Alligator mississippiensis: one gene and its partner. The protein of the gene in region 2 interacts with the protein of the main gene of each other region in a pairwise test. Links are inferred from orthologs where the notes say so. Each region holds a gene or a part of one and is shown on either strand. Other genes may lie near its edges. The genes, in order: TNIP2 and NFKB1.

What was found.
Region 1: the proteins of NFKB1 (region 2) and TNIP2 interact in binary tests that used the Homo sapiens proteins (3 or more experiments, as listed by UniProt). The link is inferred for Alligator mississippiensis from reciprocal best matches to the Homo sapiens genes NFKB1 and TNIP2.

Annotation. Positions count from the first base shown.
Region 1 is NC_081825.1:20,605,443-20,613,860, forward strand, and holds the start of TNIP2 (TNFAIP3-interacting protein 2), read right to left. Parts: upstream 3,814-8,418; 5' UTR 3,715-3,813; coding exon 3,316-3,714; intron 724-3,315; coding exon 418-723; intron 1-417. UniProt on the Homo sapiens protein: Inhibits NF-kappa-B activation by blocking the interaction of RIPK1 with its downstream effector NEMO/IKBKG.
Region 2 is NC_081825.1:163,075,480-163,083,645, reverse strand, and holds the start of NFKB1 (nuclear factor NF-kappa-B p105 subunit), read right to left. Parts: upstream 3,485-8,166; 5' UTR 3,321-3,484; intron 3,068-3,320; exon of another isoform or gene 3,050-3,067; intron 1-3,049.

The DNA of each region.
Region 1 (8,418 bases), about 140 Mb from region 2:
TTAGTTCTTCCCCATAAAAATAGTCCCTCTCCAAAAGGGAAGGCGAGGCCAAAATTGTACATGTATGCAAGCTGAACCTGAAACAATGGCAAAGTGGCTCAAAATTTATGTTTTCAATTTGTTTTTGTTGTAAAATGGTGATTAAGGTATTTTTGTTGTCCAAAGCCCTCATTAGTGAGTCATCCAAAAGATGTCACCTCCAAAAACATGGCACCCTCTAGCACTATATTCTAGGATCCATTCACTTGTTTAAGCACATGCAAATATGCATGATTTAGGAAAAGATGCTAACTGTGGCCTAGCTATTAAAGATAAAAGGATAAAGACATTGACTGTTAAGACAGAAAAATGAGTAAGAACAGTTTTTACCCTTCAGTTCTGAAAGCCAACAGTTCAAGTTCTATAGATTAAGTGTACCTGACTGGATCTTTCAATAGGAATCAGTTCCTTGGAATGCCTTCTCTCTTTTTTCTGTGTGTCCTCTAGACATTTTGCCAGGTGTTGACACATTTCTGCTGTTGACGCCAATTTACGCTGAAGTTGGTGAGTTTCATCAGTTAGAGAACGGCACAGTACTTCACTAGTGGCCTGGACTTTTTCTCTTTCTGCCAAGCTTCTCTTGAGTCTTAAGATTTCTCTCTCCCTTTCATGCGGAGGCTGGCTTACAATCTGCTGCATCTCTCTTTCTTTTTCTTCCAGTTGCTGTTTCAGCTGCTGCACTTCCTAATTAAGCAGAAAGAAGTTAGTGTATTTGTCAGAGACCTAAAAAAAACAAACAAACAAAACAACCCCAAAACCCCAATCCACAACTATTTAAATTTTAAAATTGTCTATTCAGGAATGTCAGCCATAGTAATATAAATGGTTAAATACCATTTATATAAAAAAACCTTTTCCATAAAGTTTTTGAACATGGAGCTGGACTTGGTCAATGAACCACTGCTTTTTCCAGTTTCCTCCTTCATTTTAGTATGCATATGGTTAGACATACTCTAGACCAGAAAGTGACTGGTATGCAGAAATGGATGTACCCCTAAAACTTAACTGCAAACTGTTTCCAACCTCTTACTTATGGACACACATTAGGTTTTGCATTTGTATTCCATTTTCTTAAAACACACTGTAGTTTGTCAGTAAGTCAGGACAACTGATTCTTAGTATTTTGAACTGACTAGTAATGACCATTTTCTAAACATATTTAGGTTTTTGGTAAGAGACATCAGAATTAGTATTAATGGTGTTCACTATCTTTATATGAATAACTTGGGTCACAAACACTGAAATAATCTGTTTTAAGGCAATAGCACCAGCCTATGGTAATCTGCCCACATTTAAAATACAATAAAAGATCCACTTCTGGCTCTGGGAAGAATATAAAATAACAAGAGTCTGGATTGCTGAGGATCACTGGGAGAACCATCACACACCACCTCCCCAATGGAAAACGTACCACATCCAGCAACACTCAAGTATTATGTAAGCAACAAATACAGATTATTAAGGAAACTTGGAAGGGCATGAAATACAGAGTAAAGAGGAATGACAACAGGTAAGGTAAGGTAACAAGACCAATTAAGAGAGAAACTGTCTATTCCCATTACCCAGATTACAAGGTAGTCTAAGGGAATGCATCAAACTAGGGATTTTAAACCTCTCCTCATAGTACTGAGGAAGCACTGTGCCTAACCCTGGGGTACAAATCCACTTATTTACAGGCAGCAACACTGCCACATTTCTTAGAAGTAAAATGAAACAGAACACTACAAACTTGAAGGAGAATTGGCAGTAAAGACAAGTGGACAGAATCAAACCCCCAACATCATGCAAGCATGGCCTTTCCTAGATGAGCCATAGTTGAGCAGACACTGTGTGAAGCTTCTCATGCCAACAAGGGATTCAGTGAACTGTAAGTTTTCATCTCCTTTGACATATGGGGTCCCTCTGCACTAGCTCTGAAGAGGCAGGGATCTGTCAGCAGCATGAGGATCATCAGCCACTCTTCTGGCATCATCCTGTATTCAAGTGTCAAGGAGGCTTGGCATACATCAATGGTGACTAAATCAGTCACCTAAACATCCCTTCTTCCTGTACACTCAGAGGCTGAAGGACAGCAGCTGTGAAGGAAGCCTGTGGAGCACAGCTCCTCCAGAATCAGCAAGTGTATGTACCCTTGGGGCGGGAAAAGGAAACAGAGGTATACCAATTCCAGATGGTTCTTCAGGAACTCAAATCTTAACATTGTGGAAGAGTGCAACGAAGACACAAAAGTAGATATTCTTGTTTCTAAGCTTCATCATTATGAATCTTTGTAGAAGCAGTATCTTGGCTTGGGAACAGTATTCTAGTACCACCGTGTACATTCGCTTTAAAAGAATGCAATCATTACAATATAGAATCTGCAAGGAAACAGGGCCTGTGATCACTTGAAAGAAAAGGGGATACTGCAAATGGAATTCATAAATCCAAAAAGTCCATTTTAAGGTCAAAAGGTTCTCTAGAGATGGGGGATTTTTTTGTGCTAAGTTTACACTTAATAGGCAGTTTGAGGCATGACTTCAACTCAAATAATAGTCAGGCAAGAGTGCCAGAGGGATCATTTGCAAGTTTCAAAACCTGAACTCATCCGTGGTGCATTTGAAAGTCTGTGGTGCTTGGGAAATGTTCTTGTTCAAGCATTAGGTCAAGAGATTGTTTCGTTTTGCAGCATTTTCTGATTTGGAAATTCCTTTGTGCAGCTTCAGACAGGAAAAGGGACTTTTAAAAATGTTCCCTTGAGAATATTTGAGCATATCCGTAACCAGAGCTGATCGGCAAGGGTCTAAAAAGTCCTCGTTTGTCCAGGCAGCTGGAAACAAAGCCATTTCACTCAGGAAGAAGGAAAATGCAAACACCCGCTGTTTCAACTTAAAGCAACCCACTACAGCTAAGATACAATCCTGGTGTACAAGGGTGTCAGGGAAAGAAAAATTAATAGGAAAGCCACCTAAAAGACAAGGAAGAACTCAGATATCCTGCTGAAATACTTCAGTAGAAAAGCACTGGCCCCAAGGACCTGCACATTGTTCCCACTGCAATGTCTCATCTCTCTCCATCCTTACACGTACGCCTTTCCCTCCACCTGTGCCAAAGTCCCAGGTACAGCAGACTGTGCTGCTCTCAAGCTGGCTCGACTGTGGCCAGCGCTGCCCTACCCGCGATGCTGCCTGGAAACTGCCCCTTTCCTACAAGGCTGAAGTGCAGGGGTGCCCCTGAGGGACACCTGGGAGGAGGCGCATCCACTCCCTGGCAGGTGTGTGCAGCCAGCCCCAGCCTTACCTGGCTCCGTGCCTCCGCCTCCTGCGCCGCGGCCCGGTCGCGCTCCCGCAGCTGCTGCTTCACTTGAGACAGCTGCTCCACCAGGCTGTCCACCAGCGACCGCGCCGGCGCCGCCGCCGCCGCCTCCCCCGCCAGCCCGGCCCGCAGCTCCCGGACCAGCGCGTCCTTGGCCGCCACCTGCACTTGCAGGTGCTTGAGCTGCTGCCCGGCCTCGTGATAGAGGCCGCAGAGCGCGTGGTAGCGCGGCACCTTGGCCCGCAGGCTGCGGTTCTCTCGCTGCAGCTTCTCCAGCGCCTCCTGCAGCGCCTCGGCGCCGCCGCCCTCGCCCATTGCCCGGCCCCGCGCCCGCTGCTGCTGCTCCAAGTCTGCCGGTGCCAGCGGGGTCCCCGCCAGCCGCATGGGGCCTCGGCCGCCGCCGCCACCCCGCGCCGCTTATCAACCCGCCCGCCCCGGGGCGGAGCCCGGCCGCGACTCGACGCGAGCGGGGAGCGGCCCGGCCTTGCGAAACCCTCGCGGGACCCGCCGTCTTCGCGGGAATTTCCTCGCGGGACTCCCCCGCCCCTTCCGGAGGGCGTGCGCAGGCGCAGTGCGCGAGGACTCCCTGCCCCCCCCCCAACTGTGACGCCTCAACCGTCGCCCGCCTGTAGGAGCAGCTCACGAAGGATGGAAGGGGGTGTGCGCAGGCGTAGTGCGCGAGGACCCCCCCCCCCTTCTCCGTCTCCCGCTCCTGTTCAACTGTGACGTCTCAGAAGTGCTCGCGACGGTTGGGGAGCCGCGTGTGCGCAGGCGCAGCGCGCGTGGTCACCTCTCCCCCACCTCAACGGCGGCGTGTCAACTGTCGCCCGCCTTGTGGGGTGTCGCGCGACGACCGTTGGTGGCAGGATGGGCGGGCCCCCCCGCACGGACCCCGCGGGACACAGGCAGGGGAGGCCACTCGTAGCCCCTGGTGCTCAGTGCCCCAGGCTGCCCTGAACGCCTCCCAAGGTGGCCTTAGGTTTTTTGGGGCCCTGAGTCTTTTGGAGCCCCTTAGAGGCATAAGTAGAAGAAGGAAGGAGTTTTTAATAAGTTGAAGAAATAAAGTTTTTTAACACTGAGCTATGTTCTAGGGTCATTGCATCTTCCATATGGGCCCGTCTACAACACAAACGCCTCCCAGGACATAAGCTGATAGCCTGCGTGGGACCTGGGGCCCTCAAGGCCACGCTGTGAGGCGCGCAGAAGGGATAACCCCAGAGTCTTCAAATAGGAACTGGTTGCTGCGGTCTTCCTCCAGTCTTTGAGAAACTCCTCTATTACCTTTCTGTAAACAAAAAGAATAGTGAATGCTAAGAGCTGGCACTTCCCAAGGTGCCCCCAGCCTTCCCAGGGTTGCCTCCAGTCTAGAAAGGTTGAGATCCACTCACCCAGTGCACACCTAGTTTGGCTGCTGCAAAGGAAATGCCTACGGGAGGCCCTGAGATCCTTTCAAGGGTGCCGCAGGTTGCCACGCAGCACTAGTGGTGCTCGGTGTAATGGCACAATTCATGTGACGGACGAGGAATCTGCAGCATCAAAAGCATGTTGACCTGGGATCTCTCCTGAGGTCTTTGCAAAGGAAGAATTGCTCTAGTAGTTGTCTGCACTCAAAGAACGAGCGAAAGCTGAGAGCTGGCATTTTCCAAGGGGGGCCTCAAATCTATCGAGGGGCACCTCAAATCTCCTGAGGGGTGCCCCGAGGCTAAAAAGGTTAAGAGCCACTAGTTCGCAACCTCTCAACCACTAGTTCTCGAGCTTTGAGGCTAAAAATGTTGAAAACACCTAGGAGACGTTTGTGTGAGCAAATGGACAGCAGGCAGTGTATTCTGGATGAAACAGCAGCCTATCTAGTCCTTTGAAAAGCACTATGAAGCTTAACCCCTGGCAGTGAAGCAATGGCTCCAAACAAGGGAGGTTGCACCAGTGCAAACTGGAGTAAAGATGCCAGCATTTGGTGCTTCAGAAAGAAACTTTAGGATTTGGGTTAGCAATGAGACAAAGTGGAGGAATTACGTCATTCTTTTGTCTCAAAGATTGCCAGCAAGAATCTCAAGCTTCATCAGAATAGTGTTGCTAAACACATTCAAAATACTGTACTGGTACAAACAGGTACATATGTATTAACAACACTTACGGGAAAGAAGACCCCTGGAACGAGTAAGTATAAGACATTTGCTCAAGATGCAGATTTACAATGCATTTAATGTTTATCCCAATAAATTATTTAGTACCATCATGAATATCTTTATAGTGCTAATCATGGTCACTGAAATATTATTAGAATGAAAGGTTATGGAAATTACAATTCTTGACCCTTATTAGAGAAGCATTTATTTTCGGTCTTCTGTAACATTTAAGTCCTTATCTTTGGAAGGAAAACAGTTTTTTTTTTTTTCAACCGAAGTTATTTTAAGGTAACATTGTAGGAACGATAAGGTACTTTGTAGTTTTTACAAATTGAGAGGCAGCGTGAAAGAAAACACAAGCCTAGAATTTACCGTATTATTATTTTAGAGTAGGCCTTGAATCCCGCTAACCCAAATAATATACAAATATTCTACACTTTATTTAAACAGCAGATTATTTTAATATGTTAAATATTGAAACCGATTAAGAATCAAACAGGAAGTTTGATTTGATTGGAATTTGAAATAGTTTTTTATTTGAAATAAAATATAAACATATTAAATATTGTATTTGATTATTAGGTTACAATAGTGTTGGTGAGACCTGCCAGCTTTCACCCAAGGAAAATACTATTAAGTTCAAGGGGAATTTGTCCTGAGTAAGAGTTTGATTCCGTAAGTTCTTGGAATGGTCCTGGGATGACTATCACCATTTGTTAAAACTAGGATTCAGACTTAACAGCCTAGGAATTCAGTAATAAGAAGCTGAAGCTAGAGAATGAGTCAGCACTTAACATTCATTTCTGTTACTGTACCTGGCTTTTCCTGGATTGCCTTGGGCATATCAGTTACCAGATACTTTTTCTGAGGTTTTTCATGGTCTACTGCATTGCATGTTTGTGCTTTTCAGTTTTATGCAATGAGATGCTGATATAGTCCGTTGCATGCTTCTCAGTAGCAGTAAGTGTGTGAACTCAAGGCACTCACTGCAACCCCTCTATATGATGAGACACCCTTATTTTATTTTATTTTATTTTATTACATGTTACCAGCTTCACCTGAAAATCTGACATGGACATGGACTGTGGTCCCCCTCCTGATGAGAAAAGCTGACTAAAATTTATCCGCAAACATCCTCAAATATAGGTTTTGTAGAAACCAATATTTACTCTTCAGATAATGATGGATAAAATGTTACCATGACATTTCAAAAAATTCCAATCAAAAGTTATTTTTAAATAAATAAACATTCCCCAGGAATGTTGCCACCGAAACCTTGTCATAGCCCATGAATAGTAGTGTCACAGTTCACAATAAACAGAAAATGACTAACTAGAAGCTCACTAGAAACAAAAACGAGAGTAAGTCTACTTTAACTGGGAAATGGGGAAAGAAAGTAGCACAGTTCTGTGTAACATAGTTTAACATAAATTAGTTTAGCATTTATTAAATTTGTTTTTAATGGTTTTTAATAAATTTGTAATACAGTACAGGAATATTTTTTAAAGTGCACTGCTGATAGTGAACTGATTCCAATTTACTAATGTAAATTGAGAATAATTGTACTGAAGTCGGTAGTTATACTTACATTACACTATCGTAAGTGATATCAAAACACATGCCAAGATTTTTTAATTGTGATTCTTTGAATAGCCTGTAAAAATAGCAGCTCAGGGTTCCATCTGTCTCTGTGATTATGCATCAGCTGTGCTCTGTTTGCAAGAAATCATGTTTTTCTGACTGCAAGTCATGCACATGCAACCTGAATTCAGAAAGCCAGGCTCAATGTTTTTTTTCTTTCCTGCATACCATCCCCTGTAATAAAATTACCAAATTATGCCCTCAGTGATACCTGTGCAACCCTATTTTCCAGAATTGATTTACAGAGGTATAATTGATAGAATTTAAAAAGCAATCCTGTGGAGGCTATGAGGTAAAAGAATAAGCAACAGCTTGTGATTCCTTAATTGTTGTCTCTGCTGGGCCAATGGGATTAAAAAGCAGTAAAAATGTACTTATGTCACTAAAGTCAGTACATACTTCCAGGCATCCAAAACTTATCATCTGTAGCACTCAGGTTGCTCATAATCTGTTCCATTGTACCAGAAAGAAATTTTGCAGATGGGCTTCCCTGTCTGTCTGGATACTTTTTAGTTTATGTTCTAACAGAGATTTAAGCTCCTATCTCATAGGGTACATATACACATGCAAGCACGTGCATTTGCAGCAGCTCAAATAGAAGTGGTGCAAATTTGAGCCAGGGTTTTTTGTCTCAGCGCAGGTTGTCAGACATGAACTTTGGTGTGGGACAAATTGTGCCACTTTGGGCCTGCCTGGCTCCTCCCAGATCTGCAGCCTGGGGCCAGCACCTGTGCTCTTGCTGTTGTTTCTGCTGCTGCCCCCTCTCAGGAGAGAGGGAGATTCCCTGCTGCACCACCTGACACCATACCTGCACTGGATCACTTCCTAATTGACTGGCTGCTCCTACCCTCCCACACAGCTACCTCACTGCATCTGATCCTGATTTGTCTTCTTGCTGACTGCTCTGCTTTTAAGTGACTGGCTGGAGGCCTGAGGGGTTTCTGGACAGATCTTCTACAAACAAAGCCCCTTCACTGCTCCAGCCATCTTTTACACCTGCCTTAGCAGCCTTCCCTGTATGCTTTTTTGCCCTTGTGTGGTAAGTCCTGTGGTCCACTCCCTCTGACCTGGTGTTTGTTGTGTGGCTGAGTAAGCTAGCTCAAGTTTCCCCAGCCCTTGTGTGTGTGGTTGTTTTTGTTTTTGTTCCCCTCCCCCCTCCCCCCCTCCGCCTCCATTCTCAAAGCATAGGCCTCCCATTTTTTTCCTGTGGGGCTGTGGCTCAGTGAGCTTCAACCCCTTTCCTCCCTTCCTCTCTAAACCCCTTCTGTCCCACAACCCCAGCCTGCACCTACTAGATTCACCAGCCCCATGGGATATTTTG
Region 2 (8,166 bases):
TGAAGGACACATTCTGGGCTTTCCCATGGAGCTTGTATAAGGCAGTGACATATAGGAAGTAATTAAAACAATGTAACAGAAAGCTGAACTTTACTTTTCACAAAACCTCCAGTATTCATTTAACATTGGCTTTGAGATCTGAAGTTCTTTGTAAAGATACAATTGCTAATCAGCACTGAAAAAGTAGGAACATTTAGAAAGGTGGATCTAAAATAGTGCTCTCCATGGCTTTTTCAGTTCCTTCCTCATTTTCTGTTTTCCATCACAAGCACTTTTTCCACTCTAAAATGGCTCAACTCGTCTTCTGTTGACTTTTTTTTTTTTTTTTGTAGTTAACAGTCTCTATCAGTTGCAGATTACTTCTCTGAAGACCGTACTTTTCAGATAAGCAACTCCAACCAAAATGAAAAACACATTCTTGGTTTCATTATCTTAAACAGCTTAGTGTTTATTCATTACTTCTTAGTGAAATTAATTTACTTTGTGCTGACTTTACTGTTGATCATTTTCTTTCAATGGGAGTGTGGACAGGAAAGGAAGGCTTTTCTCTTGTTAAACTGAAAACCTTTTATAACTAAATTACTCAGTCTTGCAAACAATAAACCAAAGGTAATAGAGGGGTAAAGGAAATTCACATGTAAAAATATTATGTGAAGATCCCTAGCTGGTCAATATTGTCATAATTTCACTATCTTTGAGATCACTGTCACTGAACTATAACATTTTATAGTAGTTGAGAGGCTGCATCCAGGTTTTATAAAGTGCTTTGTTCCAGCATTTTAGCAACTAACTTACTGATCATTCATTAACATAGATTACAGGGAACCAAATCTGAACAGTTTTATCTTCTCTTCAAATTACAAAAGTATGGGTTTTTACCCAGAGAAAGTAACTCTGACTAGTATGTTTACAAAGCTAAACGAATCTGTAATACACAGCAAAAAAAAGTTTAAGAACTTCAAAAAAAAACAATAAACAAACAGCTAAAAAATGTTAAGGCCATATTTTTAACTCCATTATTTCAGTGTAAATCTGATGTGCCAGAATGAAGAATCATGCTCTCTAAGATCTGTTCGGATTTCTGTCTTGGAAAGAAAATGATAGAGAAAACAATAAAAGGGATTTTTTTTTTTTTTAAACCATACAGTTAAATACTCCTATTTACAGTAAACTCTAATTAACTTGTCACTGCAATGTGAATAGAAATAATGACAAGTTATCTGGTAATGACCAACTTTTAGAACTGGATAACAGGGGGAGAAGGGAACCAAAGGGCAAATTAAACCAGTGACAAATTAATCGAAGCTTATTGTGCTCTATGCCATGTTAAATAACATCTCTATTTTCTTCTCAAACTTTACTTTTTTGTAAAGATTTGTGTCTTCAATATTTAACTTTTTTTTAAACTGGAAAACAGAAATATGCTTTTGAATTAACAGACAGGTTTTATTTGTAAAGCTCCAATCCTGCAAACACTTACACGGGTATACAATTAAACATGTGAATAAAGTTGTACATGTAAAAGCTTTTGTAGGATCAGGCCCATTGCCTGTATTTGTATACAAAATGGAGTCCAGGCTAAAGAAATAATATCTATTTTATATATTTGGAAGGTTCAGTTCTGCATTTTTTTTTTTTCTTCTTGCTTTGCCATTGTCCTGGAGGAAGCAGTATTAAGTTTTTTTTCTTCATTTGAACATAAAATTGTGTGTGTGTCTTTATGTTCAAATGAAGAAAACATTTAATGACAGAGCAGAAAAACTAATGTGGAACTGAACCTTCCATGTGTTAGGGTCAGCTATAATAGCAACAAAGTGTCAGATATTAGTCTCCATCATGGAAAGAGTATTTCATTTCTATCTAGTACTGTGGATGCCCTTAAACCCTTGCCAGCTACCAGCTGTAAAACTGCTTGTAATCTTCCCTGTATTTGCAACAGAGACCTTTCATGGTTCTCGCTCACTATTAGGGTTTTCCCATGCTACTTCACCACCAATGTTTACAGTTACACTAGAGGCCCAGATTTCTTTGGGAGGCATCTTCTACTGGACACACTGCATCACTGGGATACAGTTAGACAAGCTTTCAAAACACAAAGTATCCCACTTTAAGTCACAGTTATACTTTCAACTGGCAGGTTAGTCAGGAAAACCAAATCAGATACAACAGCAGAGCCCCTGAAGGCTGTTGCAGGAAAAGCCAGAACGTCACACAAAAATGGAGCAATTGTTCACAAACTGTGGCCTTCACACACTATGCTTTTCTTTGTTGTACCAATTCTGGGTCTCCTTAATCCACAGGGAAAAAAATTGCAACAGTGCCAGAACTATAGATATCCTGAGCAAAGGAGGAGAAAAAGGGTGGAAAAGTGGTATGCATCCACTTCAGCTGTTTTGTTTCCTGTACCTGGCAGGACTTTGCATCCACCCCTTTTCTCCTCCCTTATGCAGAATATCTACACAGCTGGCACTGTAGTGGTTTTCTGTGAATCAAGGAGGCCCACAACTGGCGTGACGAAGGTAACCATAGTTTGCGAAGACCACAGCTTGCTCCATTTCACGTGCGACACTTGGGCTTTGCCAGCAGCAGGCTTCAGGGGTGCCACTACTGCACTTGAACTGGTTTTCCTGACCCACCTGCCAGTATGACCATTACCTGAAACAGAGTGCCTTATATTCAAAAGCTGGTGTCTCTTGATCCCACTGACACAGTGGGTCCAGTAGAAGATGCCACCCAAAGAAAGGACCCCCTGAGGGGGGCATGTGGAAGGAGGCAGAGGCCAGTAATACATCCAGCGTTTCCTTCTCCCCTTGATTTGCCCCCTACCCTTGGCAGGGCTTTGTATGCCTGCCCATCTCTTCCCACCTGGCTCAGAAGAGCCCCACAAGCATCCCCATGAAGGCAGGGGGGAAAACCCCTGCGTGCATCTTGGCCGCCAGGATCAGCAGCCACAAATTGCGTCATGACACAGCAACTAAACACAGGGATTTCTGAAGTTACACAATTACAAGCAAAAAACAAAATAAAAATATCAAAAAGAAAGACATACACAGCAGCAAGAGGCGGCGGCGATGACAACCCCAGACCCTCGGCTCGGGCACAGCCCCTCCCTCCCCAGGGCCGGGGGCGGCCCCAGGCCGGGCTGCGCCAAGGGAGGAAGCGGGCCGGGCCGGGCCGGGCCGGGCGCGCTGCCCGCCCCCCTCGCCCTCAGGGCACCCTCCCGGCCAACGTGACCCCCCCCCCCCCGCTCCTCACAGCCCCGCGCCCGCGATCCGGAGTGACCCCGGCTCCCCGCTGGCGGGGCACAGCTGCGTACTCACCCTGCCTGGGCGCGGGGAAGAGGCCCCCGCTCCGCTCCGCTCCGCTCCGCTCGTCCCGTCCCGTCTGTCGCGGGCTCAGCGCCGCGCCATGAGCCGCTCGCCGCCGCCGGCCGGCCGGGACCCGCGGCCGCCGCCCTGTGAGCGCCGCCCGCCGCCGTGCCCGTGTGCCCGAGTGTGTGCGCGCAGCGCCGCTTCCTGCTCCGCGGCCCCAGCTGCTCGCCCCTCTCACTTCCTGGCTGGAAATTCCCGCTGACGTCTCGAGACCAAGCGAGCGGCTGCGGCGGAGGCGGCGGCCGGGGGAGAGAGGGGGCAGGACGCCTGCCGCCGCCACCGCCTCAGGGGGTGCTGCTGCGACCCGGCAAAGCCGCTCGTCCCGGATCCCGCAGGGTCCCGCAAGCTCCTTGTGCCGCCCGGGTTCAAGCCGGGCTACCTCCACTTCCCCGGGTGTGGGAGGGTGTCCCGGCCTCTTCTGAAGGGAGTCAAACCCGGGCCAGTCGCTTACCGCCCAGAGAGGAAACAGTCTGCGCCGGATAGGGGACACTCAGGTTTTCTGCTACTCTGTCCTCTATTGATACACCTTTACGTCCTCTATTTGTCCTAATTAAGGAGGCCCAGAATTGGTACGACAAATAAAACCATAGTTTGTGAAGGGCACAGTTGGTGAATGATCGCTCCATTTTGTCCTCTATTTGTCCTCTTTGGGAGGAAAATACAGGACAAAAAGGGCTTTGTATCAATAGAGCACAACCGGACTGTCCTCTATGACGGCCACCCTAGTGCCAGATGAGAGAAACTCTACCCCCCCCCCCCCGCCCTCCCCAGGGAAAACCCTAGAGAGGAAGAAGCTGGTTACATCCCCCCAGAACACAATCTGGCTTCCACAGGAGCAGGAACTGCTCACCCCAGCAAACACGTTTTGCAGCTCAAAGGGAGCTGTGTGAGGGCACAAGTACTAGGCATTTAAAAACATGCAGGCACTGCCCCCACTGTTGCTAACATTGCACCCGTTTTAGTATGGTGCCAGTTAAAGCATCATCTACTCAAAAAATGCTAAAAGAGGCATTGGAGCTGGAGGGCAACTGGGGTTGCAATAGTCTGTGTGGCACAGACTAGCATTTACTATACATTTGTACAGCACTTAGCACAACAGACCCCCCCTCTCTCCCCAGCTGCCTGGCCCTTTTAAAGTAAAAATAATCATTGATAATATACTGAGGGTCTTGATGCTGATATGAACTTTTATGAAGCAAAATCTAGGATGCTCTGCAGGCCTCTGGAACTGGAAGTGGTTTACCCCCTCTTCTGGTCCACACTTACAGGAAAATCCTCTCCTGCCACAAAGAGAAAAAAAGTCTATTTTAAATCATGTGCTGCAATATTGGAGTGTTATGGACTCTGCCCAGGGAAACCTCTTGAACCGGAAGCAGCAGAGCTGTACTTACATGGCACTCTTCTGTATCCAAGCTACTTAACTCCACTTCATGGCATCGCTAATTACTATAGCTGCATTCATGCAGCGTTGACAAAGCTAATTAGCCAGGGGCACAGTATGACCCAATCGTACTGTTTCTATTCTGCTTTGGCACCACCATGATGTTTGGGACTGTTCCTGAAAATCTGGGGTGGTTCTTTTACTTCTGGTGCAGCTGAGCAAGTACAAGCAACAGTGGGAAGTTTTTGAGGGAAATAAACTTTTCTTTCTTTTGAGCAAGTGCCCCTCCCTGCATGGCAGGGGACTGGGTACAGCAGTGGGATGGAAAAAGATTTTAAACAATGAATTAATAGCCAGTGTACAAAACTGTGGATCTTGCCTCTTTAACACTGAAACATGGATCTCTTCCAGAACCGGAGCAGAAATCAGCCAAAATGCTACATTCAATCAATGATGAATCACATTTTTGCAGAGGTACAGCAGTAGGAAGGTACAGAGGAGGAAAGGTGTCATAATTTCTTCTCAGCAGAGGTTTGGATTGAAATCTTGTGGCTATCTATGGTTGACCAAATTTAAAATCCAGATGTGGGTTTGGATAGCGTTCCCTCAGCCAAATTTTGTGGCTCATTCCCATCTCTAATACTCATTTAGCATTACTTTCAAGGCTGTTTCCAAAAATCCCGCATGACCCACAATTTTTTTTCTCTGTGTTTTTGATAAGGGAACTGAAATCATTTACAGATAAAGACCCTGAATTTCTCTTTTCAAACTGTTCTCTTGACTCATCATGCAATTCTGAAAATGGAATTTTTCACAAACTCTTTCATTGTTTTAGCATTTCTAAGAGAAATAATCAATTCTGAGGAGTTTTTCAGTCCCATGACAGGAATCTGAACTCCCTTGTGGAAGTACAAAGTTAGTACACTGAATTCACTGGAGTAAAAACAGTATAAAGATTTTGGCCCCAGGGCTCTGAATGAAGGAGTTTAATATAGATTTAAAAGATGAGAAATGTTTCAGAGAGATTCAGTTGAAAGAAAAGCTGCCATGTCACAGCTACTCACAGGCAGAACTTGAATGAACAAGTACTGGAACATCAGACATGATGGCATAGAAATAAGAGTTAAAACAAACCGAGCAGATTGAGTTTTAAAAGAAAATTATTAATAGCTTCAGCCCCTAACACTTAGCCTCTAACTTATATCCTGTGCCTGCTCCATGGAGGATTTGGTTCACTTTACTTTAAAAAAAAAAGATAACTTTCATTGTCTTACAGCCCAGTCCTCTACTGTTGAAGTCAATGGATGGTTTGTCTTTAACTTCAGAGGAAGCAATATCAGACCGCAAGGTCCCAATCTTGCAAGGGATCTTCTGCATGGGTTTTTTTTCCAAAAATATTTATGCCTCTCTATATAAGTAAATATATATTCTGATGATGATGGCTGATCACTCACAAATGCTAAAGATTGTCTTCTAAGCCTCTTAATAGTGAATCCGCAGGCGGCTCCATAGCCCAATTCTAAATCCACATATCTTGTTGCAGTGAGGACGGGTGTTTCCAGGAGGGATGGGCACTGTGTTGCTGCGTTGGATGTTCTGATGTCCTTTTAGCCTGTTCCTCTTTTCCTCTTCTGCCTGTCGACGAGCTGTTTCAAAGTGTTGTGGTCCCTCCCAAAGAGCCTTCCTCCATTTTGGTTGGTCCTGAGCAAGGGTCTCCCAAGTGTTGATGTCGATGTTACACAACTCCCCCACACCCCTCCCCACCCCCCACCACAATATACAAGAGTAAGACTTCATTTTGAGCTATTATGCAATCACCTCTATGTACACAGCGCATACACACACAAAATCGGGACAAAAATATTTTTAAAAAATAAAATAAAAATATGTTATTGCAGATGTTTGATTTTTAAAATATAATTTGGGGTTTTTTTCTGGTTCCAAGATGGCTAACCCCCTTCCCAAAAGATGTACTTCCAGGGGGAAGGTGAGGGACTTTGGGTGGCAAAGGTCAGAGGGTTAGGGGATGGGACTTTCAGTTCCAAGATAGTGACCAGTGGGCGAGGCACCTGTCAAGGGGTGGGGCTATCCTTGTGGCCCTTGACAGTTTACCAAAACTCACTAAACGGCTCTCCTGCCGAAATAATTGCCTGGCCCTGATCTCGCCGCACCCCTGACATACCTGCTGGGCCAACTCTCTTAAAATGGAGGTAGCCTAGCTCACTTTATACCACCTGAAGAGAAATATTAGAAGAACCACTAGACATTGAGTTAGAACAGGTTTCCTGTTTGTTTGCATAATCACTGTGGCCCAGAGCAAATTGTATTAGGGTGAATAATAAGGTCTGTAGACTTTTCTTGGTTGGGGGGATGGGGACCAAAGAGTTTCTAGGGTATATACATTATATTCAACACATTTTAAGCATATTTATTGTGTTTGGCTAGTTATTATTTGCATAATACCAGACCAATTCCACTACTAGTTTTTATATTTTAATTAACTATGCTCTCATTTTTCTATTTCTAGGTAGTTCTAACAAGAATCTTACATCAAGTGGAGATAAAGTTGTGATGTTTACAATAAAGAAATTGAATTCCTACCTTTAAGAATGATGGGTCAGTACTTGAGTACGAAATGTTAAGCAAGGGTGAATCAGTTCCTCTATCAATATAGAGCTATAAGAAAGACAGATAAGTTGTTAAAAATAGTTTTTGGTGTTCTTAATGTATCTATTGAAACAAAAGAAATGGTTGAAAGAGGTACCCAAAGTCATAAGTAAAGCACTATAATACTTTAAATATTTTTGGGTGGGAAGCATCTGATGAGCTGTGATGGGAACCTTCATCTCCGATACTTGACCCCTCAATTTGTGGAGTCCCACAATTACCATTTCTATCTCTGGTTCTTTTCAAAATGTGCAGGTAACCACTAGACAAAATGGACAAACATGTATTCAGGGCTAGCACAACCCTATACTATACTAATGCTAAAGCCCTATACCAGGGATCAGCAACCCCCGGCATGCATGCCGAGCATGGCATGCAAGGCCATTTTGCTCGGCACACCACCGCCAGCCTGGGCTCTAAGCAGCTGCTGCCAGCCATGGAGCCCAGCCTGCTCCCAGCAGGTGACTGGGAGGCTGCAAGCCCTGCTGCAAGCAGACCAGGCTCTGTGGGCTGGCTGCAGCCAGGAGGCTGCAAACAGCTGCTCTGAGCTCCGGCATGTTGGCACTCCGACACCTTCTAAGGTAGACAATGTGGTTTTTTCAGCACTCCAGCCAAAAAACTTTGCCTACCCCTGCTCTATACTAGACTAATGCTAACTCTGTACTAATGCTAGAAGCATGGGGAACAAGCAGGAGGAACTGGCATTCCTGCTTGCAAACAATAACCTAGATTTAGTGGAGCTAATGG